Linked DNA regions of Canis lupus familiaris. The protein of the gene in region 1 binds, or shares a complex with, the protein of each later gene. Links are inferred from orthologs where the notes say so. Each region holds a gene or a part of one and is shown on either strand. Other genes may lie near its edges. The genes, in order: SNRNP200, SNRPD2, PPIH, PLRG1, LSM5, LSM7 and LSM6.

Evidence for each region.
Region 2: SNRNP200 (region 1) and SNRPD2 share a complex: the UniProt entries of both Homo sapiens proteins name them as parts of the U4/U6-U5 tri-snRNP complex. The link is inferred for Canis lupus familiaris from reciprocal best matches to the Homo sapiens genes SNRNP200 and SNRPD2.
Region 3: SNRNP200 (region 1) and PPIH share a complex: the UniProt entries of both Homo sapiens proteins name them as parts of the U4/U6-U5 tri-snRNP complex. The link is inferred for Canis lupus familiaris from reciprocal best matches to the Homo sapiens genes SNRNP200 and PPIH.
Region 4: SNRNP200 (region 1) and PLRG1 share a complex: the UniProt entries of both Homo sapiens proteins name them as parts of the minor spliceosome. The link is inferred for Canis lupus familiaris from reciprocal best matches to the Homo sapiens genes SNRNP200 and PLRG1.
Region 5: SNRNP200 (region 1) and LSM5 share a complex: the UniProt entries of both Homo sapiens proteins name them as parts of the U4/U6-U5 tri-snRNP complex. The link is inferred for Canis lupus familiaris from reciprocal best matches to the Homo sapiens genes SNRNP200 and LSM5.
Region 6: SNRNP200 (region 1) and LSM7 share a complex: the UniProt entries of both Homo sapiens proteins name them as parts of the U4/U6-U5 tri-snRNP complex. The link is inferred for Canis lupus familiaris from reciprocal best matches to the Homo sapiens genes SNRNP200 and LSM7.
Region 7: SNRNP200 (region 1) and LSM6 share a complex: the UniProt entries of both Homo sapiens proteins name them as parts of the U4/U6-U5 tri-snRNP complex. The link is inferred for Canis lupus familiaris from reciprocal best matches to the Homo sapiens genes SNRNP200 and LSM6.

The regions. Positions count from the first base shown.
Region 1 is NC_049238.1:34,675,953-34,679,452, reverse strand, and holds part of SNRNP200 (U5 small nuclear ribonucleoprotein 200 kDa helicase), read right to left. Parts: coding exon 3,427-3,500; intron 3,330-3,426; coding exon 3,165-3,329; intron 2,931-3,164; coding exon 2,809-2,930; intron 2,576-2,808; coding exon 2,432-2,575; intron 2,328-2,431; coding exon 2,151-2,327; intron 1,850-2,150; coding exon 1,689-1,849; intron 1,573-1,688; coding exon 1,491-1,572; intron 1-1,490. UniProt on the Homo sapiens protein: Catalyzes the ATP-dependent unwinding of U4/U6 RNA duplices, an essential step in the assembly of a catalytically active spliceosome. Plays a role in pre-mRNA splicing as a core component of precatalytic, catalytic and postcatalytic spliceosomal complexes.
Region 2 is NC_049222.1:110,602,361-110,606,375, reverse strand, and holds the start of SNRPD2 (small nuclear ribonucleoprotein Sm D2), read right to left. Parts: upstream 2,801-4,015; 5' UTR 2,752-2,800; coding exon 2,750-2,751; intron 1,000-2,749; coding exon 820-999; intron 1-819. Other genes in the region: QPCTL (glutaminyl-peptide cyclotransferase-like protein), read left to right, coding at 3,499-3,774. UniProt on the Homo sapiens protein: Plays a role in pre-mRNA splicing as a core component of the spliceosomal U1, U2, U4 and U5 small nuclear ribonucleoproteins (snRNPs), the building blocks of the spliceosome.
Region 3 is NC_049236.1:747,011-750,510, reverse strand, and holds part of PPIH (peptidyl-prolyl cis-trans isomerase H), read left to right. Parts: intron 1-2,904; coding exon 2,905-2,992; intron 2,993-3,476; coding exon 3,477-3,500. UniProt on the Homo sapiens protein: PPIase that catalyzes the cis-trans isomerization of proline imidic peptide bonds in oligopeptides and may therefore assist protein folding. Participates in pre-mRNA splicing.
Region 4 is NC_049236.1:52,571,453-52,575,742, forward strand, and holds the start of PLRG1 (pleiotropic regulator 1), read right to left. Parts: upstream 2,801-4,290; 5' UTR 2,655-2,800; coding exon 2,646-2,654; intron 1,338-2,645; coding exon 1,231-1,337; intron 942-1,230; exon of another isoform or gene 870-941; intron 199-869; coding exon 56-198; intron 1-55. UniProt on the Homo sapiens protein: Involved in pre-mRNA splicing as component of the spliceosome. Component of the PRP19-CDC5L complex that forms an integral part of the spliceosome and is required for activating pre-mRNA splicing.
Region 5 is NC_049235.1:44,955,705-44,959,853, reverse strand, and holds the start of LSM5 (U6 snRNA-associated Sm-like protein LSm5), read left to right. Parts: upstream 1-1,349; 5' UTR 1,350-1,461; coding exon 1,462-1,507; intron 1,508-2,593; coding exon 2,594-2,689; intron 2,690-2,974; coding exon 2,975-3,002; intron 3,003-3,678; coding exon 3,679-3,751; intron 3,752-4,149. UniProt on the Homo sapiens protein: Plays a role in pre-mRNA splicing as component of the U4/U6-U5 tri-snRNP complex that is involved in spliceosome assembly, and as component of the precatalytic spliceosome (spliceosome B complex).
Region 6 is NC_049241.1:57,200,201-57,204,323, forward strand, and holds the start of LSM7 (U6 snRNA-associated Sm-like protein LSm7), read left to right. Parts: upstream 1-1,323; 5' UTR 1,324-1,333; coding exon 1,334-1,339; intron 1,340-1,422; coding exon 1,423-1,513; intron 1,514-4,123. Other genes in the region: SPPL2B (signal peptide peptidase-like 2B), read right to left, coding at 1,118-1,177. UniProt on the Homo sapiens protein: Plays a role in pre-mRNA splicing as component of the U4/U6-U5 tri-snRNP complex that is involved in spliceosome assembly, and as component of the precatalytic spliceosome (spliceosome B complex).
Region 7 is NC_049236.1:44,949,699-44,953,945, forward strand, and holds the start of LSM6 (U6 snRNA-associated Sm-like protein LSm6), read left to right. Parts: upstream 1-1,447; 5' UTR 1,448-1,606; intron 1,607-2,815; exon of another isoform or gene 2,816-2,920; intron 2,921-4,247. UniProt on the Homo sapiens protein: Plays a role in pre-mRNA splicing as component of the U4/U6-U5 tri-snRNP complex that is involved in spliceosome assembly, and as component of the precatalytic spliceosome (spliceosome B complex).

The DNA.
Region 1 (3,500 bases):
AATTTTTTAAACCACTAGTTTGTGAAATTAAACATTACAATGTTTCTGATTTCTGCTTTCAGTCCTCAATTATTCTCATATAAAGATCAGATTTTCTTTTTGGTCATAAAGTAGTAAGTAACTGAAAATGGAGTTAAGTGGTAGTGAGAAAGGAGAAGATCCACCACATAGAAAAGCCCAACTATCTTGGAACCATTTAAAGACAAATTCATGGGATGCTTAGGTGGCTCAGCAGTTGGGCATCTGCCTTTAAATCGGCATGATCCCGGAGTTCCGGGATCGATTCCCGCATCAGGCTCTCTGCATGGAGCCTGCTGCTCCCTCTGCCTATGTCTCTGCCTCTCTCTCTCTCTCTCTGTTTCTCATGAATAAATAAATAAAATCTAAAAAAAAAAAAAAACAAATTCATGAGGCGCCTGGGTGGCTCAGTGAAGTCCTTGCCTTCTGCTCAGGTCATGATCCTGGGGTCCTGGGATCAAGCCCCACATTGGGCTTCCTACTCAGCAGCGTGGCACCCTCTCCCTCCCCACACCACTGGTGCTCTCTCAAATAAATTATAAAAATCTTTAAAAAAAGACAAATTCATCTTAACATTCATAGAGATTGACAATACTGTGTAACTGGTGTTTTTCACAATGACCACTCACCTAAATTGTTTTATTTTTTTATTTTATTTTTTTCCTAAATTGTTTTATTTTTTTTTAAACTTCCTGGCTTTTTTTTTTTTTAATAAGATTTATTTATTTATTCATTCAGAGAGACCGAAGAGAGAGGCAGAGACACAGGCAGAGGGAGAAGCAGGCTCCATGCAGGAAGCCCGATGTGGGACTCGATCCCGGGTCTCCAGGATCACACCCCGGGCTGCAGGCAGCGCTAAACCGTTGCACCACCGGAGCTGCCCCCTAAATTGTTTTAAAGCAAAAAAAAAAAAAAAAAAAAAAAAACCCAAATAACCACCAATAGCCCCAAGATTAAATTCTCAGCCTTGTGTCTTGTCATTACTCTAAATTTCCCTCCCGAAGTGACAATGTAACCTTGAACTCTGGATCTAGTGGATGGATAAGTCTTCCAAAAGAAACTTCATCCTGGTACTTAAACATGGAGTTCATTTGAGATGCCTTTTGTGGTTTTTTGTTTTGTTTGTTTATTTTTGAGATGCCTTTTGACAATTTAGTTTCAATTAGCTAGCTAGGGATCCCCAGGTGGCTCAGTGGTTTAGTGCCAGCATTCAGCCCAGGGCCTGATCCTGGAGACCCAGGATCGAGTCCCACGTCAGGCTCCCTGCATGGAACCTGCTTCTCCCTCTGCCTGTGTCTCTGCCTCTCTCTCTGTGTCTCTCATGAATAAATAAATAAAATCCTTAAATAAAATAAAAATTAAAATCTAAATCAATAAATAAATAATTAGCTCTGTCAAACTATCTTCTAGAAGGAAATTTCAGGAAGTTTTCCATCCATCAGTTTTCTTTCTGTCCAGCTCCTAGGACCTACCTGTGGAAAGAGAGGTGCGATCACAGGGCCTGTGACCTCCTCTTCCCGCTCCAGCTGTACCAGCACCACAACCGGCCCACCACTGTAGGGGACAAGAGGGGGGAGCGCATCAGCACCGAGGTAGTGCGGTGGGATGGCCCTGTCACTGTGTGCCCAGCAGGGACCCTGGGGCAGGGCGCCCGGCCAGCCCTGGCTCACCTGCGGATGCTGTCCTTATCCACCACTTCGTAAGAAAGCTCAATATTAGGGTAGCGGTTGCAGAAGCGGGCCACATCAGCGATCTGGCTGTCAGACAGCTGAAGCAATGCATTTCGCTCTTCATCTTCCATCTCCATGATGTCAAAAACACTCTCCACTCCCTGCAGGGGTATTCAGAGGTCAGGGAAGGAGAACACAGAGTAACAGCAAATGGAATTTGGCTCGACAGCTGCTAATCTTACTTCCTATACCATCAGAGCATCCATACACAGCTTCAGAAAGAACACAGCCCACAACTGTACAACTGTCAGGCTCTCTAGCATCTCAATATGTAACACCCTCAGAGAAATTAGAACTCCCCCCTGCTCTGACTCACCCTTCCCCAAACACAACCCCCCCACCCCCCAAATCCCAGGACACCTGTCTCAGCCATCCAACCATCCAGGTCCAGACCCAACTCACCTTGTCTGTGCAACGTTTAATATGCTCTGAAGTGAAGTGTGGCAGCTGTTTCAGGTAGGAGTCCTTGGACCACATGGCTTGGGTTACCATCTGGGCCAGTTCCATAGCTGCCAAAGCAGGGCTAAGCCACCCATTGCTGGAGAGGACATCCACGCAGGCCTGAATGAGCCTGATTGCCTGAACCAGGATAGGAGTGCAAGAGAAGGAAAGGTTGGAACTGCTACTTCACAGGCCACCACCAGCCCCTCCACTCCATACCCACACCTGCACCCACACCATACCTTGCTAAGAATTTCCTCTGTATCTGACTGCAGCTCAGCACTCAGCTGCATGCGGGACAGGTGAGCTTGCAGAAGCAGGTTGGTCTTGACGTGTGGGTCATTGAACTTAGGGTTATTCAGCTTGTGGGGGACCTTCTGAGCCAACTGGAGAGTGGAAGAAAAATAAAGAGCTGGTAATGGACAAGTGACCCTCCCCAAGAACAGCTCTCAGGCCCAAAGTACCACCCGCTGCCGCAAGCTCACAACCCTTAAAAACAGAGAAGTGTGAGTGATGTGTTGGGGTCTTCCTGTGGTGGCAGAAACACGGCATGCTCTGGGCACACAGGCTAAGTTTCAACTCTAAAGATGTGGTCCCGAATCCACGATGTCCTCCTCACCTGTCGCAGGAGGTTATCTTCATGGTGCCGGATGGGAATGTTCTCATACTCTGCCGCATTGGAGATGATCTCGATAAGCCCTCGCACCTTGGTCTTGGCATTCAGGGACATGCTGAAGAGCTCTGACAGCCAAAGGTAAGGAGAAAGGGGAGGAGTCAGAAGCAGGTAGAAAAGGAGGAGGGAGGAAAGTTAACTGCCTGGGCTACCCTACCCCTGTACTACCCCACAATACATCCCTCTAATGAACACACAGGGTGCTAGAAGCCCTGTGCCCTCTCACCCACTGGGCTGCAGGCCCCTGCATGAGACTCCTTTAGCTTGGGCTCCCCAGACACCAGCCCCTGCCGGCCCCTCACCAATGGTGGTGTAGTTGATGTAATAGTAAGCAGCAATCATGCCCAGGTTCAGGGGTGCCACATCCATCTCGTCTTCAATGCTGATGCACTTGGACTGCTCCAAGTCACTCAGGGTCTGCTCCACGAGTTCTGACAAGTGGTCAGACAGGTGACGATGGGAGATGCCTGTAACGGTGAGAGAGAAGTAGGGAGTCACCAGGAGATGGCCGGCAAGGGCCATGAGAACCACAAAAGGATACTGTGCACTCCACAGTCCACTGACCCTGCAGGTTGTAGTAATTGGGGTTCTGTGTCATGCGGCGGTACAGAAAGGTCCAGGTCAGGTAGTCCACGGCA
Region 2 (4,015 bases), on another chromosome or scaffold:
CAAGTACCCTTCCTACAGAAATATTTAATCCTCACAACTGTTCTATGAGGGGTATTTTTATGACGCACAGTTTGCAGACAAGGACACTGAGGCCGAGAGAGGAAATAACACTTGCTGTTCCCTCTGGCTGAAACACTCAGACCCTGGCTTCCTCCTTCATTGTATTTAGGTCTGTTCATCACGGTCTCTTCCTATGGAACCCCTAGCGTTACCGTCTAGGACAACACCTCCTTCCCAGCACTCCACACTCTCACCTGCCTTTACTATTCTTATGACACATTGTTTGTGTGCTTGCTGTTGGTTTCCCTACCTATGGCATAAGCTCTCTTAAGTATAGGAGTCCTCTTTCAGTCATTGCTGTGTCTCTGGAGCCTAAAAAAAGTACTGGGCATGGTACTTTATTTTTTTCTTTTGGGGCATGGTACTTTATATCGTAACTGCAAAACCTGATTAATAAGAGCTTCCTGGTGCCAGATGCTGTACTTCTAATGACTGTATTACACATCACATGTATTAAGTCACTGAATCTCTGCAATCACCAGAATTACTGCCATTGAATGGAAGAGATAAAGTTACTTGTTGAAGGTTTCATGGCTGCTAAGAGGCAGAGTCGAGACACAAACCCAGGAAGCCTGGCTCCCAAGTACATGCCCATCACTACTGTACTGCACAGCTGGAAGGACAACAAGACACCATTGCACTTTGAGGTCTGAATATGCTTATGCCCCAGGACTCTGAAAACCTTGTATTTGGGTTCCTCACACTGGAACTGTGTCTGCATTTCCAAGACAGAACACCTTCCAGGACCCAGGTGCTTACCTGTCGAAAGCCTTCACACGGCCCAGGAGCTTCTTGTTGTTGCGGCAGTTGATAAGCACCTGGGTGTTGTTCTTGACTGACTGTGTGAGCACAGAGAGCGGACCCGTGTTAAACTCTTCCTCCTCCCGCTTCTGTAGCTCCTCTGGGGTCATCTCACTCTTGGGTTTGTTGAGGAGGCTCCTGAGGGGCAAGCATGGAACCCGTAGGTGAGAGGCCCAGAGCTAGAGCGTGGGTGGTCACATGATGTCTCCCCAACCCACCCACCCCCCTGCTCAGTCCCTCTTGCATGGCATCACCAGCTGGATGCTGAATAGACATTTCCAACCGTATACATCCTCAGTTGAGCTCCAGATCTCCCAATCACTCAAACCTACTCTTTCCACAGCCTTCCTCATCTCCATCATTCTAGTTCCTTGAGCAGAAACCCTGATATCAACTTGACTCTTCTCTCTCACATCCTACATTCAATGTCAGCAAATTCTGTCATCTGCCTCTAAAATATACCCAGAATCTGTTTCTTACCATGGCCTAAACCTCTATCATCTCTCTCCTGAGAGCCTTACTTGTCTCCCTACCTCAGCCCATGCCGCTGACCGTCTGTTCTCCACAGCAGTCCCAGAGGTTGTATCAAAATCTAAGTCATATCATTTCACTCTTCGAAACCCTCCCATGGCTCCCATCTCTGTGTAAAAAGTAAAACCCAAAGTTTTTACAATGCCTGGCATCTTCCCATCCTTCTCTGTTCCAGCCAGTGGCCTTGAAGGTGGTCCTTTAAGATATTAGGCAAGGGGCGCCTGGGTAGCTCAATGGCTGAGCATCTGCTTTCGGCTCAGATCCTGACCCAGGGGGAATCCCTGGGTGGCTCAGCGGTTTAGCGTCTGCCTTTGGCCCAGGGCACGATCCTGGAGTCCCGGGATCAAGTCCCACATCGGGCTCCCTGCATGGAGCCTGCTTCTCCCTCTGCCTGAGTCTCTGCCTCTCTCTCCCCCTATGTCTATCATGAATAAATAAATAAAATCTTAAAAAAAAAAAAAAAAAAAGATCCTGACCCAGGGATGCTGGGATCGAGTCCCACATCGGGCTCCCTGTGGGGATACTGCTTCTCTGTGTCTCTCACAAGTAAATAAAATCTTTAAAAAATATATAAGATATTAGACAGACTTTCACCTTGGGCATCTCCCTTCGTTTTCCCTCTGCCTGGATACCTCCCCAGGTATCTTTGTGGTTCTCAGGTTCTTCAGGTCTCTGCTCAACTGCTGCCTTCTCAATGTGTCCTGCACTGGTTATTGAGTTACTTTCTCTCAAAACTAGTACTCCCCATTGTTTGGATCCTGCTCTTTTGCTTCTTTACTCACTTAGCTCTGATCACCTAACACACGCCATACACTTTACATTTTTATCACCGGTGTGTTCATTGTCTGCCTTTTCCCACACCCATAAGCTGCAGCAGGGCATTTTTCTTGCGGGATGGGGGTCGCAGTCACTGATGTATCTCACGTAGTTAAAGCAGTGCCTAATACATGAGTGCTCAATAAATAATTGCTGAATGAATACCAAATCAGGAAAATCATTAAGGCGATTCGTGAGCCGAAAAAGTCGCGAATGAGGTGAACTTCTCCAGCTCAAATTGTCCGGGTAAGTCCCGTACCTCAAACCGTTATTTCTAAAACTCCGCACTCCCGTTTCCCAGGTTCTTTGCTTCCCCTTAAAATCCATTTCAGCGAGACTCATTATCGGGGAAATCCCGGCTCATTAACTGATCAAGTGCCTTCCCTCGAACTCAGGACCCGTAAAAGGCCCCATGCCCATCCTCAAACTCGTCAGAACGGTGCGTACTTTACCCCTAAAACCTCTGCCTCCGATCCCGCCTCGCCCACCACCGGCAAACGGCCACATCTACGCCCTCGACCCCACTCCCGCCGGGCCTCACATGGTGGTAGCGGCTGCGCTCGCAGATCAGCTCCGTCTTCCCCGCGTTGCTCCTGCCTCTGAAGAGAGGGCTACAGGCGGGACTTCCGTTTCCTGTGGCCGACTTCCGTCGGCGCCTGCGCAATCCCAACCTGCACGGTGTGGGCGAGGCCTGTTGCCGTGGCAATCCGCGCCGGCCCCGCGCAGACGTGGGGTAGAAGCACTGCGTAGTAGCTCAGGGTCTTTCAGGACCATATGGAGAGAAGACAATGGAGAGAAGAATAAAGCGGGTCCGACTCAAATCGTTTCGTTGTAGAGCGGCACAAGCTGAAGAAGGGACAGGACACGGCATTCCAAAAGCCCGCCGGCTCCGCCCTCGGGGGCGCGGCCTCCGTGTAGCCAATCGGCTCCTCGCTTCTGGGACGGGCACCGCCCCTTTTCCATCGGTGTCGGTTCGTTTACGTGTCTATTGATCTTTCCGACTTCGAGTAACCAATCCTTTGCCTTCCTACGGGAGGGGCGGAGACCTGCTCCTTGGTCCAACGTTTTTCAGGATCAAACATTGCTCATTGGCTTCCGTTCCTCCGTTGAGGCGGAGCCTCTCCCTTTCGCACTACCCTTTTGGGTTGTGCAACCCTCAGGGGAACCAACCCCAAAGCCCCAGGGAGACAGGAAGGCGTGTTCTCAGAGTGAGGGTCGCCATTGGTTTCACTGACCGAGGGTGGGTGGGATGGTGCAGCCGCTCTTCGTGTTTATTGGTTCGGTGATTCCATGGGGTGGGATTTGGCTGGGCCTAAACTATCCGCGGTCCGGGACCGGTTTCGGGGCGAAGCTGCCATGCCTTCCGGGGGCCGCGGGCGGTCCCGGCTACGGCTCGGGGAACGTGGCCTCTTGGAGCCGCCCTCCCCGCCCAAGCGCCGCCTGCTCCCGCGGGCGCACTTCTTGCCTCTGCTTCTGCTGGCCCTGGCCCTGGCTTCGGCGACCTACACCATCTGGAGCGGCTGGCACCACCAGACTGAGGAGCTGCCGCGGGGCCGGGAGCTGCGGGTGAGGCCCGGCAGGGGCACGGGCACCGCGGGAGCCCTCATTCCCCGCCTCCCCTTCCCTGAGGTCTCAGGTTGACGTGGCTGTGTCGTCTGGCCCAAGCTGCAGGTGCTGCGGTCTCCGTCGATAGAGCGCATGCCCGTTGCTAACGAACTGAGGCTTTGGGCTTGTTCTGTAATAGGTGGTTCTACCTAAGAGGGAGAGTCTGCAGTAGTAACACTGGGAATTCTGGGTTCCAATCTGA
Region 3 (3,500 bases), on another chromosome or scaffold:
CCCTCCCTGCTTTCCCTCATCACCCATTTCCCTGGCAGGGTCTCTAGTCTTGCTCTCCCTGATCTAGTATTTCCAGGCACCCGCTCTGTGCTCACTTGCATAACCTTCCACTTATTTAGGCAGGCATTCATCAAGTGAAGGTTTTCCGACACCCAGTCTGTTTCAGACGGGTGTACGGTGCTCTGGTACAGACCTGATCCCTGCCCTTCTGACACTTAACATCTAATGGGGCAATACTCATGCAAAATGACAAGCCCAGTGTAGTATAATTCACACTACTGCCTGTTGAGATAAGGGCTCCCCCGGGTATGTAAAAGTACTGGGAGGGCCCCGTAGCATGAGAGTAAGTACTTCAGGGGTCAGGCTTCAGAGGAAGGTGGTGTGAAATAGCAGGGTGGCAGTCAAGGGGCTGAAGGTGAGGAAGGATGAGAACATCTCTTATGAATGGGAGAGGGAAGGGCCAGTAGAGACCCCTGGAGAGGCAGGTGGGTCTAGCTCCTTAAGGGTTTTAAATGAAAGTAAAGATGAAGTGTCTGGAGTTTCTTGCATAGTTTATGGAGAGCCATACGCTTTTTTGAACAGGGTCAATAAACTTTGTGATTTAGGATGAAGCTCCTGGCTGCGGGGTGAGTGGCAGATGGGAATATGGAGGTGAGCGCAGGGAAGCTAGTCAGGATGCTACCATGAGAATTGGGCAAGACCAGACCAGCAAACTGTGCAAGCCCCATTTTTGGAAAGCCAGGCTGGGTAATCACGGGTAAATGCTGCAGGAGGAGCTTAGGTGGGCTTGGATCTTTGCTAGGAGGGCTGGAACCCTCTATGGGCATGCCCCTATGTTAGCATCTATGGAGGAGTCAGAGAAATGGAAGGAAACCGTGTCTGCTCCCTCAAGCTGACACTGGTGAAGTTGTGCTATCACAAATCATGTGCAGAACTGTTTTTGTTTCCATCCTCCTCTAAATCGTAAGTTCCTTAAGGGCAGGGACTGGGCCTCAGTGGTCTTGAAGCCCTACTACTTGAGACAGAAAGGCGTGGAGCAGATACCGATGAATGACCAAAAGATCATCAGCATGATGGCTAACATTTATTGGCCAATTGCTCAAAAAGCACTGTATTTGCATTAATTCATTTTAATCCTCTCAGCATACCTTTGAGATAGGTATAAATGAGGATCCCGAGGCCCAGAGAGGGTATGTGACTAAACTAAGGTCACACAGTCTGTGGTGGAGCTGGGATTCCAGCTAGGTCATCATCTGGCTCCAGAGCTTATTCTCGAAAGCAGTAAGCAGACCTGCCTGAGAATGAATTAATGAGTGGCTGAGGACAGAGAGCGTCTCCTGAGCTATAAAAATGTATATGATGGTTCTCTGGTTTGTTTGCTAATAAATGTTCATACGCCAAGCAGCAAGGTAGATTGATTGACTGGTTGGTTGTTAGGTGGAAAGAAGGAAGCAGAGATTTGGGAGCCCTGAGAAGTCTGTCCCTCATTGCACAATGTGTGCCCTCTGTGACTGGCTTAGGCATTCCCTTGCTTTCGTGCAATGAGCTGTTCTAAATACACGCACAAAACCCAAAAGTAGCCTCATCTTACGTGGGGCATTTCTAAGTATAACTAAAAATCCTCAGTGAGGTAGTGAGCACGTTCCCCTAGACAGTGTTGTGAATGTATTTCATACACACTTTTATCCCTACACAGCTGAGCACAGAATTAACCAATTTAAATCCACGCAGCGTCCAATTACTGCTAGTGGCCTATGTCATTATTTCCAGTCCTGTCTCCGTCATGTTAATCTTACGAGACCTGTGCTTTTAATAGTACTCTGTTTTCCACTTTCTACTCCTTTTTTCCAAAACAAAAGAAGTATGCAATAAAATGTTCACATAGACCTTGTTGCAAGGCAGTGCTACTGAAAGGTAACTTGTCGATGTACAAAAGCCTGAATTTAGTGTATTAAAGGCAATTTGGGGATACTAGCATGTAAAGTACAAAAGTACACTTCATTAGAAAGTCAAATATCACCCTAGAAATTATCCCTCTGCATCGTACGTAATAATAGCCTCTTCTTTTATAACACATTATGAAATGTAATGATATAGAAATAATTTCAGGGGATCCCTGGGTGGCACAGCGGTTTAGCGCCTGCCTTTGGCCCAGGGCGCGATCCTGGAGACCCGAGATCGAATCCCACGTCGGGCTCCCAGTGCATGGAGCCTGCTCCTCCCTCTGCCTGTGTCTCTGCCTCTCTCTCTCTCTATCATAAATAAATAAAATTAAAAAAAAAAATTTTTTTCAAGGGAGGATACAGGTAGAGACTTTCAGATTCTCAATTTAAAAAATTCTTGCTCCTGTAAAATTCAATAAGGATTTTGGGTGTAGCTGTAAAAAGCAAACATCATTGATTAAATGTAGTCTTTTTCTAGCATGGCACCAGCTTAGCAATTTCTTGCATTTTCTTAAAGGCATTTATTACCGTTGTCACGGTGCAGTACAAAGCTATTCAGACAAAAGAGCTTATGGCATAGGCAACAGGCTTTTTCTCAGTGGTATCTAATTTGTAACTATAATCCAGGTATAACCAATATTGGATTAAATACAGCAAATCAGGTCCCATGAACAGTTGTTCCCACTTTAAAAATTCACACTAAATAAATAAATAAATACATACATACAAATTCACACTGCAGGAGAACTGTGCCTTGATTCAAGGATCTAGCTCCTTGAGGGCAGTGATTATGTATCCTGTTTATGTCCTTGGATCCTAGCTCTGGAGACCTGGCTTATAGTAGATATTCAGTAAGGTTTGCTGAAAGAAAGGAATCAAGGCTACAGGCTCTTTTGGGAATCTTATCCTTCGGCTAGCGTGGCCGGGAAAACTCACTGGAGATGTACTTGGTTTCTGTCAGGCAAACAGTGGTCCCAGTACAAATGGCTGCCAGTTCTTCATCACCTGTTCTAAATGTGATTGGCTGGATGGGAAGCACGTAGTGTTTGGTGAGTGCTATTCCTGTCCCAGAGTCCAGGCCCCATTCACACGGAGTGGGACTTCCAAAGGAGCCAGTCCCCAGGCTCTAAGCCCAAGAGGGCTCAGCTGATATAACTGGTCTGGGAAGGTGGAGGTGGTGGGAGGTGGGGAGGACATGTGCTTGGAGCACTAAAGGGAAGGGCGGAGGGGCTGTGTGATAGAGTGTGTGACCACTTGGCTGATCTGTGTGTCTGGGAGGGAAACCCAGATGGTATCACTGAAGAAACGCCATGCGGAGGCAGCATGGTATGGTAGGGCTCTGCAGTCGCTCAGACCTAGCGCTCTGTAACCTCTTACCTGTGACCTTGGGCAAATCATTTCACTTCCATCAGGTCCCAATTTTCTGATGGTAGGAGGAGGGTCAAATGAGATGATGGCTAACAGTGGGCATCAGAAGCTGGAAAGTGCTACGCAAATGAGAATAATAAAGTCTAGCTCTTATTCTTCCTACAGGAAAGATCATTGATGGACTTCTAG
Region 4 (4,290 bases), on another chromosome or scaffold:
TTTCATTTTGAAAATTCACATGTAAGTCCTGACATTTCTGATAATACATCCTCACCTTGATTGGCAGGATACTGCTTATGACCATACGAATCCGATGCATTCTGAGGACATTTCTCTTTAAAATTTTCTTTCGAAGTAGGCATGTGCAACACAGGACCATACTCATTACGCAGCTTGATTGCCATTTTCCGTTTGTGACTATTTAAAAATTATGAACATAAGAATGTATCTTTGAGTGCTTTAAATATATTAGCCAAAAGAAATATAGACAGCCAAGAACACAAGTACTTAAATAGCTTAGGTTTGCCTAATCATGTAGAAAAAATTCTATGAAGTTTTTAAAGTTAAATAGTATTTTAAAAAGCTTGGAATTTCCAAGTGCATTTCCACACTTTTTTTGTTCCCAATCCACCACAGAGCATCCATTAAGTCTAAGTAGCATTTTAATTTGTTAACCAATAAATATATAACCTTTCATGATAAATTACCAAGGGTCTGATTTAAAAACATATAGAAACTAATATATCCTTTTAAAAACCTCAGTCAATACACTTTCCTTCAAATGTGTCAATATAAAAACACAGTAAAAGCTTCTATCATAACCTTTACTGGATGTATCTAAAAAGACCAATTAGAACTAATCAAAGTAGTTAATTAGTTCAATATTTTTTAAAGAAATGCACTTATATTAGTCTTAAGAACAGCTCACTTAATAAATTAAATATAAATGCTTGTCTTAGGAATTAAGTAGATTTTAAAAGAAGGGTAAAGGACAAAGAAGGAACACTGCACATAATGCAATCCCAGACTGGAGCTGGAGATGTAGAACCAAAAATATGCCACCACTCAAAAATCTTCATCATACTAACGAGAAAAGATGGGAGTAGAGGTACTGGCCAGGTACAATTTCAGCTCAGCAAGGCTCTGAGAGCAGCGGGAAGCTGAAAGCACATACAAAGTGATTGATTATAAAATAAAACACCTAAAAGGGACTCTCCTAATTACTGGGTATTTATAAATGCAATTAATTAATGGGACTTTTTATTGTGAAAGACAAGGCCAAAAAAAGTTAAATCAGCTTAAATCATGCCCAAACACCATTCATTACCGAATAGACATCCTACGAGTGTTAGTATCACTCACTAAGCTTTAAAGGTCCCCCTCTCCCTGCTCTCTTCCCCCAACATTAGAAGTTACATATTCCAGTAACTGAAAAGGAACAATACCTACCTCTCTTCATCCAAAGGCACAGGTTTTCCGTTATCAGCTACAAACATGTCATGGGTTCTCTTCAATGACCTGAACACAAGTGTGTGCACAGAATGTTTCTGTACCTCCTAAAAAGAAAGAACAGAATCACATATCTAGCTACAAATGACACATACCACAACCTAAATTAAGTCAAAGCAGCCATACACTTTACACATTTAAATATGTAAAAAGCTTTGTACCACTCACCACAGCTATTTGTAGCAAGCGATAGAAGAAGTCAAGGTCAGAGAGGAGGAGGAAGCTCCTCAATGGCCAGAGCCCCAGGTATACCAATTAGTGATGCCTGAGCTTAGCCATTGATTCGAACAAGTATTTACTGAGTTCCTACTATGTGTCTGGCAGGCACTGTGCTAGAAGCTAACAAAAGAATGATGACAAGGCAGCCATGGTCCCAGTGCTCAAGAGAAAACGAAAAATAAGCAACAAATCTTTGATAAGTGCTATGAAGGAAGCAAGCCAAGAAAGAACCTAGGATAGTTATGAAAGATCTCTCTGAGGTATTCCTTAGGCAGAAATTCAGCCTCGTGCAGAGCAGAGGTGAGAACAATCCAGGCAGAGAGGAAATGCCAGGTACACAGGGGTTTGGTGGCTGCAATGATGGCCGGAGCTGCAAGAGAACTGTGCATGTTCCACTGGAAGGTGGACTGTGAGGCTGGGATGAGGTTGCAAGGGTAGACAAGGTGCAGATTAGGTTAAGGATTCTTTTTTTTTAAAGGATCACTGCAACAGTCTGCACTTTTGCTCTAGTGACATCTGGCCAGCGAAGGATTTTAAGCAGAAAAAAACGCGATCAACGTATATCTTAAACAGATCAATTTTGCAGAGGGCGAAGAAATGGAAGCGAGAACACCAGCAGGGAGCTAAGGCACTCGTGCAGACGAAGGATGACGCCGGATCTGAATTAAGGCGAAGGCAGTGGGTCTGGACAAGGCTCCAGAAGTATTTCTGAGATGAGACGGGCAAGGCTGGCTAACAGTTTGATGCAAAACTTCAAAATGGCAGGTCTTCCTGGGGGCAGAGCTGGAGGAAGACCGCCCGCCTCAGGACACACAGCCCCTGACGCTGCTCTGCAGGCGGGGACCCCGCGGGGCCGGACGCGGCGCCTCCGGGGGCCCGGCCGAGACCCGACGCTCAAGAGCCAAATACGGACCGTGGAAACTCAGTCGGGCTTCGCGGCCGCGGGTAACGTCCAGCCAGGGCTCCCACCCGGCCTTCCTCTGCCCCTGAAAACCTTCAGAGACCACCCGGCCTCGGCCAGACAGCCCCCCTCCGCAGCCTTCACCATCCCCAAACCGCGAACACCCCCCCACGCCCGCCGCCAAGGAAAAACACCGCGGAAGCCAACGACCCCTCAGCACCAAGCGCCACCTTACCTCGACCATGATGCTGCCGTGCGACTCGCCGCTCCAACAGACAAGGGACACCAGCCCGCAACACAGAAGCCGCCGCCGCCGCCGCCGCCGCGCAGCCCTTCCGGAATCGAGCGCCCTGGCGCCGGAAGTGGGGCCTCCGCGCAGGCGCGGTAGCCGCCCGGCGGCCTTCTGGGATCGAGGGGCGGGGCTTTCTCCAGAGGGGCGTGGCCTCGGCGAGGTGGGCGGGGCTCAGCGGCGTCCCGGAGGAGGTCTTGGAAGAGCCTTCGGCTCGGACTTAAGTAGTTCGGTTCAGGGGTGTGGTTGTTTGCGCTGTGCCTCCCCAAGCTTAATCCTTTAATTTTATTTTTTTTCCCAGCGAACCCAAGGAGTCCGTTCTAGGGAGGGTCTGGAGAGAGCGAATCCCGGTCCGCGTCCAGCTCCCCTGATTGACGTCTCGGCTCCCGCTGCGCCGCGGGGCTGCCCGGCCTGGAAGCCTCCGCGCGCTGCGGCCTCGGCTGCCGAGAGCACCTGCGCTGATGCTGTCCCGTTAACCCTTGGCGGCCGGATGTTGCGGAACACTTTGCATTTGAGAAAGTGTGCAAAGATCTTTGTTGTAGCCCTGTACGGCAAATCCCCACATTTATTTTTACGCTGCATAGATTTTTTTTTTTTTAAATCTCTCAAAACCGCACGATTTTCAGCCAGTCTGCTAATGAACGTGGTGGCGTCGACAGTATCAAAGGGCAGCTTTTCAAAGCTGGCGGAAGAAAGACACAACTGAAGACTCGAGCCACTTTTATTTATACACATCCTAGTGCCAAAATAGCAGTATTTTATATTGTCTTGTCTTAGGTAAAATGCAGTTTTCGATCAAGCCTGTCCCATTACTTTTCTATGCAAACAGGAGTTGAACATTTGTAAATCCGATAGGCAAATATTTCACTGGCCCTGCTTGTTCCTTAAGCTAATCAATTCCACTGATCTCAGCATACCGCATGGGCTTGGAGAGGGAAGAAGTCTTATTGAGGGACACCTGGGGGGCTCAGTGGGGGAGCATCTGCTTCGGCCCAGGACCCAGGATGTGACCCTGGGGTCCCTGATCATCGGGCTCCCTGCAGGGATGGAGCCTGCTTCTCCCTCTGCCTGTTTCTCTGCCTCTCTCTCTGTGTCTCTCATGAATAAATAAATAAAATCCTATCAAAAGTATATCAATGTGAATTGCTAATCTCATTGGATGTACATTGATTCTTAATTAATCAAAAACATTAAGGTCATGTTTCTACTTGAAAATACAATCGTGTTTGAATTTGAGTGAGTTTGGCCTACTGAGTTTCTGCAGCAGTAGCCACTGGTGGTGGGCCTCATAAAGAAATTCTATAATGGTGCAATATGTACTTGGGAACCTACATCATATTTTAACTTCCTCATAGATAGTGATAACTATACAAAAGAATACTATTTTTAAAGGTGATGAAATTATAGAAATGTAAACAAGATTCTAATATATCTATGGCAATATAATAACTGTCTAGTTGGGGCCTGTTAACATGTTAATCATCCAGGAAAGAATTGTATAAACCCAGACTCATCAAACATTGTAATAGTTGAGATAAATTACACTAGACTATGTTTCTTTTAAAAAGTTCTCTTGAATCTGTAGAATTAT
Region 5 (4,149 bases), on another chromosome or scaffold:
ATCTCTAGTTCTCTAGGATCCCTGAAACTAAGAGGTCTTTTATATTTTAAATTTCATATACCTTGTATATTATATTTGTTAGTAGGCTTTCTCTTCCATTCATCCTTAAGCTTCTAGAAGGGCAGAAGACATTGTAGTTCTGTTTTGTACAGTTTTATACTCAGCAAAATGCCAAATAGTGTGTAGCTAATGCATATTTGTTCCATGAATGAATGATGTGTGTATTACAACTATCTGTTGTATGAATGAATGATGTTTTTTTCTGCTCTCTCCTGTTTAGACTCGTCAGCCTTACGTTCCTGGGATACAAATATGAAACAGACTTAAGGCAGAGAATTTGTTTGCTTTCTATTCTTTGCAAAACAGAAGTGCAAAAAGCCTGGGATCCCTGGGTGGCGCAGCGGTTTGGCGCCTGCCTTTGGCCCAGGGCGTGATCCTGGATACCCGGGATCGAATCCCACGTCGGGCTCCCGGTGCATGGAGCCTGCTTCTCCCTCTGCCTGTGTCTCTGCTTCTCTCTCTCTCTCTGTGACTGTCATAAATAAATAAAAATTTAAAAAAACAAAACAAAACAAAAAAAAAACAAAAAGCCTTAAGGTTTCCTGTGTGATGACATTAGCGGACAGTGACATCTGGTGGCTGCTTATAAGACAAGACAGTTAAGTGTTGAAAGTGGATACAGTCTGTGATAAATTGGACTCCTAGCTACAACAAGGTAAGAATGATAAGGTAGTAGGCATAAAAATAAAATGTGTTTTAAATTTCCACTGTAGAAGGTTTTTTTTCTTTTTAAATGCTGGTTGTGGGTTTTCAATTCACTGGACTTTAAAAAGAAGCACTAGATTCTTTTTTCTCTCTTCTTTAAATAGGCTCCGCACCCAACGTGGAGCCCAACCAGCGGATCCTGAGATCAAGACCTGAGCTGAGATCTAGTCTGAGGCTTAACCCACTGAGGCACATGGGCGCTCTAGGAGTAGATGCTTTGAAAAACGGCTTTTACAAAAACTGCAACACAGTGCATTAGTGGCAAAAAAAAAAAAAAAAAAAAAAATTTTTGGTTCGGTCTGAAAAAAGATCCTGGCTTGAGATGAGGTGCAACTTCATAGCAGAAAATAAGACGATTCAAAGATTTCCGTATTTTGCAAAACCTTCCGGGTTGCAGGAAGGATTTATTCACAAAGCAGGATCCCTTTAGCGTCTGTCTGTCGGAAACTGCCCGGGGAAAGCCGCTACGTGCCCAGACCGCACCACCTGCAGCGGACGGAACCTTCTCCCCGAGAGCTCAGCGCCCGGGAAAGAAGCGATTGGGAAGGAGCGACTCCTGCGGACTGATTGGATCGCAAGTTCGGCCTCCGATTGGTCGAGCCTGTCCGGGCCGCGGGCCGGCGGGGGGAGCGGAAGCGCGCTCTTTCAAACTTGCCGGGCTGACGGCGAGGCCGGCGGGCCACTTCCGGCGTAGCCATGGCGGCCAACGCTACCACTAACCCGTCGCAGCTGCTGCCTCTAGGTAATCGCGGAGAAGGGGACCGGAGGGCTCAGGCTAAGTGTTGGGGCCCGGGCGGCTGCGGCTGAAGTAGCCCTTGGTCGAGTGTTAGGGAAATGTGGGGATGAAGGGCCTCAGTGCTCCGCGGCTCGTCTGCCGGCTCCCGAGTGTCTGCGGCCCCGGGCCGCCCGGGAGCCTCTCTGCACTAGGCACGAGGGCTGGGCGCTCTTGGACAAATTCAGACGCCTCCCACTGCCTGCGGATAGCACACACACCAGGAGGAGATAGAGCGCTCCACCTGTAAGCATCACGCCGAGTGATAACGAAGCCAGCTAACGAGGCGTTCAAACTGCGGTCCGAACACAGAGATAGTGACAGGAAGAAATCTCTGGTGGATACGGTTGTGCCTCTTCCGATATTTTGTAGCCAAAGAGTTGATGGAGTTATCGGAAGTGGCCTTGTTTTGGAAGTTTTCATTCTTTGATTCCACCAACTCTTTTTGAACGCTTGCTATGTGCCAGACATTGCCCACTGAGGATAGAGTCCTGGGAAAACAACCACAGTTGTTTCATGGGGCTTAGACTCTTAAAAAAAAACATCAAACAAACATTTTTATTCATTCATGAGAGACACCCAGAGAGGTGGAGAAGCAGCCTCCATGCAGGGAGCCCGATGCAGGACTCGATCCTAGGACCCCAGGATCACGCCCTGGGCTGCAGGCAGGCGCTAAACCGCTGAACCACCTGGGCTGCAGGGGGTGGGGGGGGCTCAGATGTTAATTATATATTAATTATGCATTTCGTATGTTAATCAAAATCACTTAAAATAACATTAAACCACAACCGTGATGGATAAACTTCAACAAAGGAGAGGTAAGTGGTAAACAGGACGTTTTTGTTTATGCAACAGAGATAACGTACCGTAAAATCTCTAAAGTTTTTGAATGAATACTTTCTCTGGTTTATCTTTCACAGTAAGTAACTAACAAGTGCCAGTAGGCATTCCAATATTTGTTGAAGAAATGAACAGGTAAAATAATCTTTTTTTCTCCACCCCCCCACCCCTCTTTTTTTTTCTTTAAAAAAAAAAAATATATATATATATATATAGAGCTCGTGGACAAATGTATAGGATCAAGAATTCACATTGTGATGAAGAGTGATAAAGAAATTGTTGGCACACTTTTGGGATTTGATGACTTTGTCAGTATCCTTTCAAAAGGTGGTGGTGGTATGGGTTTTCCTGCAGTACTTAAGAACAGAAATAAGAATATGGACAGTCAGTACGTAACTGGTTATTGTATTAGAAATTTATTCACCTCTTGATAGCGTTTTAAGAGGTGTGTGTACTGAAAAAAGATAAAGTTCCTACCGATTACTAGTATTTTGCTCTGGAGCCATTGTATTAAACGTTGTAATTAAAATGGAGTAAAGATAGAAGCCAGAGTAAATTCAACCTGGTATATGTATTTTTCTTAACACCAAATTTCAGATATGGTACTGGAGGATGTCACTGAGTTGTGAGTAGTGTTAAAAATTAAAGAATTGGGGGGAATCTCTCCTTAAGTCAATTTTAGTATTAATGAGTTTAAAATGATTAATGAGAAAACATTGCCTGTCAGAAATACCTTAAAGATAGAAATTTTATCTACTGACACTGGTAAAATTGGATCAGTTATTACCGGATGTAATTATTATGTTATTATTAATGACTGGTAGGGACTTAGTGGAGACTGAGCTTTGAGATAAAAGATACTAAAAACAGCCAAGGATGTTTGTGCTCAGACAAATCAAGGCATTAAACTTAAGATATAAATGATAGCTCCATTATATTAGTTTTAAAGATCACAACCAGTGTCTGCTTTCAAAATTGAGTTGATTACAGATTGGTTTAATGGGTAAGGGATTAGTAGTAAATAATAGTAAAAAGGTGAGGCTAGTAAACATTCCATTTCATATTTGATCTCTTTGGCCAGTTTTAGCTTCTTTTAGTTTTGATCCTAGTGGATGTGGATCTGAGGCCAGTCAGTTCACTGTGTTGCCTTTGGTCATCCAGTGGATAACCTTTGTCTCTGAAAACTACTGACATAATTGCTCAACCTCATATTCATATAATATAAGAATAACTTTTTTAGGGATCAGAATGTTGGCTTTGATTATCATTGTTTATCTTGACTCTTTTATTTCTTCATTTAGTGAAATCACACCAGAAGGAAGAAGGATCACTAAATTAGATCAAATTTTGCTAAATGGAAATAATATAACAATGGTAAGGTACAGTAAAGCTGGGCGTTTTTTTAGATGTAGCCCATTTTTGTGAGGCAGAGATTACAGATTACTTGGCTTGGTTAAATAAATGTTCATGGCCCAGTGGGTTTAAGTTGGGAATGAGATGCTCCTGTGATCAGGGCTCTAAAGCTGAGCTACTGAACATGACAATAGGCTTAAAGATTAGTTTGCTTGGGCTTTTTAATCTTTTGGTTTGCCAAGAATCATTGTTTAGACTCTAAGTATTAATTGACGATGTTGGGATTATAAACAGAAGCAATGACCTGGAGAAAATGGGAATGTGGGGGAGGAGCAAAGAGGCCAGGTATCTTTGATGGGTGAAAAGGGGTTTTTAGATGATGGGTGTGGTGGTGGTATTAATAAGCTCTTTTTCCTTCT
Region 6 (4,123 bases), on another chromosome or scaffold:
GAGAGAGTGCTGAGGAAGATGATGGAGCAGGGCCTGGCAAACAGCGGGGGACGGGGCCTCCCAGGGAGCCTCTCCGGAGGGGGGTGGGGGCAGGGAAGAACTAGGAAGGATGACCAGGGGCATTCCGGGGAAACGGGGAAGACCAGACGGAGGCGGAGCGCCTTCAGCAAACTAGGAACAGGAGGGGAAGCGTCCCAAGCCGCCCAACCACAGAGGCCTCCCACACGCGCTGGAAGCCGAGGGGCGGCTCTCATCTGGATGCAACCAGACCTGACACACTTTCAGAGACATCCCTCCTGCTGTGCCGCCCATGGACTGGGGGGTGTGTGAGACGCAAGTGGCCACCGGAGGCTACAGGAGAGAGATGGGGACCTGCGGCGGGCAGCTCAAGGTTAATGGGACACCACTCCCTGAGCTGCATCACCCAGGGAACCGGGGAGGGAGGACCTGCAAATACAAAGTGCGCTTAGGAGGATGTCCACCCCCCGGCTGGCAGCAGGCCCCCCGCTGGCCCGGAGACCTCTGACCCCAGCTGCCCGAGGAGGAGCACGCTGCAGCTGTCACCCCATGAGCATCACCGCCGAGTCCTCACTGACGTCTTCCTTTTGCAGATGAGCAACTGACGCCCGAAGCTGGGGCCTCCCTTGCCCAAGGTCACGCAACAGAACACGGGGCGGCGGTTGGACCCCACTCGGGACGCGGGCTCTCGGCCGCTCCCTGTGGGGAACCGGGGGCCACGCCGGACGGCTTACCGCAACCACGCGGGTGGGCGCTAACCTCGCGCGGAAGGGGAAACTGAGGCTGGGGGCCAGGCGGGGGGCGTCCCCGGCGGCGGCCGGGGGCCTCGGGACGGAGCAGGGCCTGGGGAGCCGGGGGGCCTCCCGGACTTCAGACCCAGGCGCAACTGGGCGACGCTGCGGCTGGGGAGGGCTCCGGGGGGGGCCGGCCCGCAAGGTCACGGCCCGGCTCCCGGCCCGCGGGCCACCGCGCGGGGGGCGAGCAGACCCGAGGCTGGCCCCCAGGCCAGGCCGGGCGGGGCTCCCGCGGGGCGCGGGGCCCGGGGCGGAGGGACCGGGCGCCGCAGCCGGCGGGGCCGGCGGGGCCGACGCAGCCTCACCTGGGTCGCGAGGAGCAGGAAGGCCGCCGCGAGCCGCGCCAGCGCCGCCGCCGCCGCCATGTCAGCCGGGTCGAGCCGCAGGCGTCGGCAGATGTTTCCCAGCAACGCCCCGGCGCGCCCCGCCGCGCCTGCGCCGTGTGCGCTCCGCGCCTGCGCACGGGGGCGGGGTCAAAGGGCGCGCGGCGGCGCCTGCGCAGAGCGGCGCGCGGCGGCAAGATGGCGGTGAGCGCGCGGCGGGGCCGGCTGGGCGGGCGGCGTGGGACCCGGCCGCGCTCTGCGCCTCACGCGCTCTGCTTCCCCCGCAGGACAAAGAGAAGAAGAAAAAAGAGAGCATCTTGGACTTGTCGAAGTACATCGACAAGACGATTCGGGTGAAGTTTCAGGGAGGCCGCGAAGGTGAGAGCCCCCCGCCGCCCGCCGCCCGCCCCGCCGCCCGCTCCCCGTCGACGGCTCCGGGAGGCGAGCAGGGTGGCGGATGCCCGGGCGCAGGCCGGAGCGCTTTGCTGGGAGGACTCGCGACGGCCTCCGTCCGACGCCGTGCACGCGGGGAAACTGAGGCACGGGAGGAGCTGCAGACACCCCGAAGCGGCCGAGGCGCAGGCGGGGTCCTCGCTCCGAGGCAGCCGCCCCCGCTGGTCCCCGCTGGTCACTGACCCCCGCCCCGGCTCCTTGGGCTCCGCACTCGTGACCCTGACGCCAGCCAGATTGTTCGGGGCTGTCGGGGCGCTGGGGGGAGGGGAGCAGCCAACCCCCGGATGCCGCCAGATGCCAGGACATGCCTTAGCTTGGGCACCCCAACCAGGCATCTCCCTTGCCGAGCCGCGGCCCGGTGTCAAGGATGGTCCAGAGGGGCCTGTTAAACACAGGTGGGCCCTCCTCTGGGCCGCCCGGTCCCTCCCGGGGAAGGGGCAGCCTTGCGGAGCTCTCAGCTGCCACCAGGCTGTGACGTGCACCCGCCTGCTGGGCTCTTACCAGGCTTAAAACACAAGGCTTCTCTGGGTGAATGAATTTCAAAGATCTCGGGAGCTTTCTCCCACTATTCACGAGCCAGGGAGCACCCCACCTAGGAGACGGCGCAGAGCCCCAGAGGGTTTCGTAGGCAGAGGGTGCAGGAGCAGACGCTGGATCGCTTCCGGCAGGGTCCCCCTCCTCTGGGGGATGCTGGGGGTTCTTTCAGGAAGACTAGCTCGGGAGGGCTGACCTGGAAGTTCCAGGCTGACTGGTGGAGATTGCATTCCTGGGAGAGCTGCAGGTGCGGCCAGGTTAGGTATGAGGCCGCGGTGGGGTGGCCGGGGCTTGGCACGAGTGACGCCGTTGGGAGTCTCTCTTTCTAACTCCAGGTTAACTCCACAGTCATTTTTCTGCTCTCAGCTCAGGATTCTTGTTCCAGGAAGCCTTCCCTGATCCTCCACCCTGGGCCCCACGCCTTTGGTGTCAGCTCCTGGTACCGTCTGTCACCGTTCCCCGCTTTACGCAGTAAACACGACACCGACCTCTGCATCTTTCCCCTGGAATAGTGAGGAGGGCAGGAGCTGGGCCCAGTGTTGCTGGTGCGTGTAGGCAGTGTGGCCTCTGGGGTCCTAGCACCAGGCAGCTGGAGTCAGAGCCACAGCTCTTTGGCGCACTGGCTGTGGGACTTCGGGCAGCTCACCCCGCCCCCCAGGGCTCCATTTCTTCACTCCCCCCACCTCACCGGGCGGTGGTGAGGATCACAGGGTTGGAGGCACCTTCGATGTGGTTTCTGACACAAGCAAGCACTTGAGCAACATTTCATTTCTTCAGCTGCCTCTTTGCTTTCGTTGTGTTTCATGAGACAGTGACCCAGATCCTTTCTCCCGGAGATGTGGACGATTGGGTAGCATCGGCGTGGTTAACAGCGCGGTGCCTGCAAGTCTAGGTAGCCAGCAGTGGTGAGAACTTGAACCCGAACAGATGTTTGCTCTGTCTGCGCCGTGCTGGCTCTGGGACCCGTGAAGGAGACACAGCTCTCGTTTCTCAGGGTGCTCATATGGGTTTTCTACGCTGTGTAGCAAGTTGCCACCACGTTAGCAGCTTACGCAACATGAATTTATTATCTTGTGGTGTTTGTCAGGAGGAGTCTGGGTGCCTTGGGCTCAGGGGCTCAGGTTGCACTAAAGGAGTGTCTCAGACGCCCTGTTGGTTGTGGGCAGGGTTTGGTCCCCTGCGAGGGTCCTACCCCTGTAGGACCAGGGTCCCCGAGCTCTGCTACAGGTGTCCTAGAGGCTGCCCGCCGGCCCTGGCCACAGCACTGTCCACAGCATGGCAGTTTGCTCCCTCAAGGCCAGTGGGAAGATCCCTCTCATGCTTTGAATTTTTTGACACAGTTCCTGTTCCCCTGAGCTCATCTGATTAGGTCAGGCCGGCCGAGCAGAATCTCTTTAGGTGAGCTGAGAGGGCACTGATTCTGGGACCGTAATCACACGTGCCCGTTCCTTCGTCTTTATCCTCCTGTAACCTAATGGCAGGAGTGGCATCCCGTCCTATTCACAGGTTCCCTCCCACACTTGAGGGGAGGGGTTCCACTGGGTGGTCACCGGGGTCAGCCCCATTTTAGAACTCTGCTCGTGCCCCACGGAGGAGGGCAGACCCGCAGGTGCGGCCACAGTGCCCGCTGCCCATAAGCTCGTCGGGGAAGTGTCCTCGGGACCTTTGTCTTGCGGGCGGAGGGGAGGTCAGTCGGGGAGAGAGGAAGGCACAGAGCCAGGCGATCTCGGTCACGGCTGGAGGCGTGAAGGCGCCCTGAGCCGGTGAAGCTGCTCACAGGAGCGCAGCAGGCCGGGTTGGGCCCCCACGCCGTGGTGCGCAGAGCTGTCGGTCCCGTCCAGCCCCGTACTCCCCGCAGACACTACAGCAGCGCGGTGGAGCGTGGTGGGGGCACCCCTGCTTCGCCAGCTGTGCCTGGGCCGGGAGGCCTGAAGGCCGGAGGGGCAGGGCTTTGGGGCGCGTCCCTCTGGCCGTGTAGGCGCCGCTCCTCTGCGCATGCGC
Region 7 (4,247 bases), on another chromosome or scaffold:
TAAATATTGATGATGGGAAAAAAATGCTAAAGAAAAACTTGTGAAACATGGAATGTTGCCTTGTGAATCACTGAAAGCCAATTATAAGCTGCTGAGGGGGATTCTGGGCACAACTACATTTTGATAATTGTAGTTTATCAATGGTGCCTGCTGCACTGGTCCAGCGGGGCCCTCAGAGATCCATGCCTCTTGGAAGAGGTAGCAACTATGCCTGCAGATGAACCATGCCCTTAAAACTTCTCATTGCCTCCTGCCTACCACACCCGTCTTAATGACTCCACCAGGGCTCTATAGCAATGAGAAAAAGGCTATGAATCAAAAAATTATTTTTTATGAATCACTGAAACAACCACTGAGGAATATAGTACAATTTGAGGTCTTTTGTGAGGAAGGCTTTTTAGGGACAGGGTTTTCTTTATATCTGATTATGTTTGTTCTTTGCAGCTAATTATTTTATTTAAATGATACTTAATTTTTTTCACATTATATCTTATACCGCAAGAGCTTCAAATAAAGCCTTTTCAAGAAATCTGTAATGCTTGGTTTTTACCCAAAGTGAGCTTTTATGGAAGGATATAAGGAAATCTCTTTTCACCACCAAATCACACCCAGTTGTTCTCTGGCCGTCATATCAATCAAAGATTCTTTCTTCAGCTAAGACAGGTTTACGAGAGGGGAAACTCATGTAGATCTTAGGGAAAAAACCCTGCATCTTAGATCTGTAACACTTAAGAGTTAAGAATCTGTCCAAAGATATTATTTCTTTGTTTAGAGTGTTGCAAATCACAAGCAGAATTAAAGTATAGGTTTTAAGTTGAGGGTATGTGTGTGAGGAGAAAAAGGAATCAAGTGTTGGTATAACACTTTACTTCTTTTTCTTCGCCCTTTCCACTAATAGCAAGAATATTGAGAATCCATGCAGAATTCCAAACCAAGTTCCCATAGCAGCACTTAAATAATGTCTGCATACCATTTCCAATTAGAACTAGATTGTAATGTAACGCAAGTCATACCATTATAATACGGAGCTACTTTAGGGATTTTAATTCTTTTTGTGGCAATTACGTTGCCATGGAAACAATCTCTTGCTAATAATGACTTCATCGCACGATCAAAATCCAAAGTGGATTTAAAGATTTGAGGATGCCTGCTTTATTTATTTGCATTAACTTTTTCAAGGACCTTTCCGAGCCTGTATAGTCATGACCCTAGTAGTCAATTCCAGTTTAGTAGGACTTCAAGCTATTTCTTGCATCTCTGCCTAAAGGAAATCCTGCCTAAAAGATCACTTCCAGGCTTTGTTTTGTTTTAAGTATTTTAAGGGGTGTTTGCTTTCTGCTAAGAGGTAGCAGCAGCGGCTCTTTCTCCTCTGACCGCCAAAGCCCCAACTTTGCCTTCGGGCCAAACGAGACTCCCGGCTCGGCGCGCGCCGCCGAAGCGCGGCCTTCTTGGGCCCCGCAGGCTGCCGTAGCCCGGAAGGGCGCTCCCCGGCGGCCGCAGAGGCGCGCCGCCCGCTCCGGCAGTTTCACTTTCGGTTTCGCCCGGGCTTCGGCGGAGGCCGCAGCTGCGCGCCACCTGGAGCGGGGGTTTGGGTCCCGGCCGCCAGGTGAGCCGGGCGGCCGCGCGGGCGGCGGGGGCCCCGGTGTTCGCTGGCCCGGGGTGGGTGCGGGGAGCGGCAGCCGGGAGGCGGGCCGCGCGGACCCCAGGGGCCCGGCCCAGAGCCCCCCGGAGGGGCGATGGACCCCGCGGGCGCCCGCCGCAGCCTCCCCGCGCCGCCGACTCGCCTTCCGGGACCGGGACCGGGGCTGCTGGCGGGGTCCTCGCCGGCGGGTGGGCGGGAGAGCGGGCCGCGGGGCCCCGTGGGCCGCGCCGGGTTCCGAGGGCTCCGGGGCCGCCGCGGCCACCTTACCGGGGCCTGGGGCCTCGGGCCGCGGGCGCCCGCAGGGTACGGCGTCGAGTCCTGGCGCCGGGGCTGCCGCGGATGAGCGCGCGCGGCCGGAGCAGGGGATGGGGCCTTAGGGTGCCCCCCCCCCCCCCCAATGCCGCAGAGACACAGGCTGTGGAGATCCTGGACTCAGAAGCGCTTAGCGAAGGAAGCCCTATTCACTGAACCCCTTCCATCTTTACTCTTGCACGTGCCACTTCCTGTTTGAGCTACGACTACCTGTGCCCTCCGTTAACAGTACAGAGAGTTGTCCGCTTTCATTGAAAAGTGCCTCTTAAATGTTATTTCTGGTTTTGCGCCTTTTGGTGGGCTACCTGTTCTGTCCTTGTGTAGGTCCCGTAAATTATTCAGCCATTTCCCGACTGTGAGGCATTTAGGGTGTTTGCGAATTTTTGTTTCATCCTAGCATCCCAGGTAGTACTTTGATAAACGTTATTTTTAAAACTGCATTTCGGATGATTCACTTGGATTGATTCTGAGCAAGGACATTTTTACAATAGGTGCTGTGCCCCAGTAAGGTCTCTTCAGATCTACATACCCCTTGCCAAATTGTTTTCCAGGAGAGTTTTAGCAGTTTGCATTTCATGTAAGGTTGTGCCTGTTTTCACCAAAAGTATGATAGCTCATAATATGTATTTCTAACACGTCACCCTCACTTTTTTTTTTTTTTTTTTTTTTTTTATGGTGGTGTTTCATAATGCCAATTGCTTGAATTTTGTGCAGGAGTCTAGAGAATTATCTTGGGTTTGTGTGTGTGTGTGTGTGTGTGTGTGTGTGTAAAAGTATTACTGGAGTTCCTGCATAGGCTGACAATGTTAGAGCAGGATGATCTCTTAAGTGGTCATCCAGCATAACTCCCTTATTTTGCAGATGAGGAACCTGGGGCCTTGAGAGGTGAAATGATGAGTTCTCCAAGGTATACAGCTACATTAAGTAGCAGAACTGGGATTAGAATTCAGGTTTCCCATCTCCCAAGTGAGTACTCCTTATGCTGCATTGGGTGGTCTCTCACTAAACTGTGGCATACTTGTATGAGCATTTTTAAAAATCTTGGCATCACTTGAATTATTTTGTCCTGTTAGAAATAACAGAGATTTTAGTCATCTGAGGGAAGTGTAACACTTGGGAAATTGACCATTTTCAGGACTGGGACTAAGAAATCCATTACTTAAAATGGCAACCCTTCAAGATTTTTTTTTTTAAAGATTTTATTTATTCATTCATGAGAGAGAGAGAGAGGCAGAGGGAGAAGCAGGCTCCATGCAGGGAGCCTGATGCGGGACTCGATCCCAGGACTCCAGGATCACGCCCTGGACCAAAGGCAGGCGCCAAACCGCTGAGCCACCCAAGGATTTCCCCCCCTTCAAGATTTCTTGACAGTTGTTTTTAGATTCCCTTTATGTCAGGATAAAGTATCTAAAAAGTTAGAATTTAAAAAAAAATTAAAAGTTAGAATTTGTACTCGATCATCTGATTAGAATTGAGCTGTTTGTTCTCATTTGTTATACCTTGAAAGTTTTTTAAAACTCCTTGTTGCTTGAATACTAGAGAACAATGGTTTTTTGATAAAGGGTTTATAACAGAGTTTTTCAACCTCAGTTGACATTTTGGGCCGGATAATCCTTTGCTGTGGAGCACTGTCCTGTGCTTTTTAGAATGTTAAGCAACATCCTTGGCCTCTATGTCCTAGCACCACCCTCCTCATTCAAGACAGTCCAGAATGTCTCCAGATGTCCGCATTTGCTTACAGGAATCATTTGGGAAGCTTTATAAAATGTCAGTTACGGTGTCCCCTTGCCTGGGGAGTCTGACTAGGAGTAGTAGACTTCAGGAATCTGCATTTTAACAAGCATCTCTGTTGACTCGGATGCAGCTGGTTCTTGTACAACACAGAAACATTTCTATTTTCTTTGTCTTTTATTTGGTGGTCAGTAGCAGAGATATGACTGTGGTATAGCCATTTAAGTGCACAGATGATGCAGTGCTAGTCACTATACCCATAGTTTGCGGGTAGGGGTGAAAGGGACAGGGATTTTCCTTGGCACTGTCCTCAAATGTCTCCCACAGGATTGATTGGCCGGTGAGCTTAGGTTCCTTTTCCCCTGTCTCTGAGAAGCTTAGAACCTACTGTGGGAGACTGATCAACAGGAAAACTGCAGAACAGCCTGCTAAATGGGAAGGGGTGCTCTCTGAGTGCTGGATTCATGGCTGGAGTGAGAGAGGGGAGGAAAGTGGCCCTCTCCTGGATGGGGAGGAGGAATTGGTATGAATCCTTCAGAAGAGGGCTAGGTACCCCCTCTGT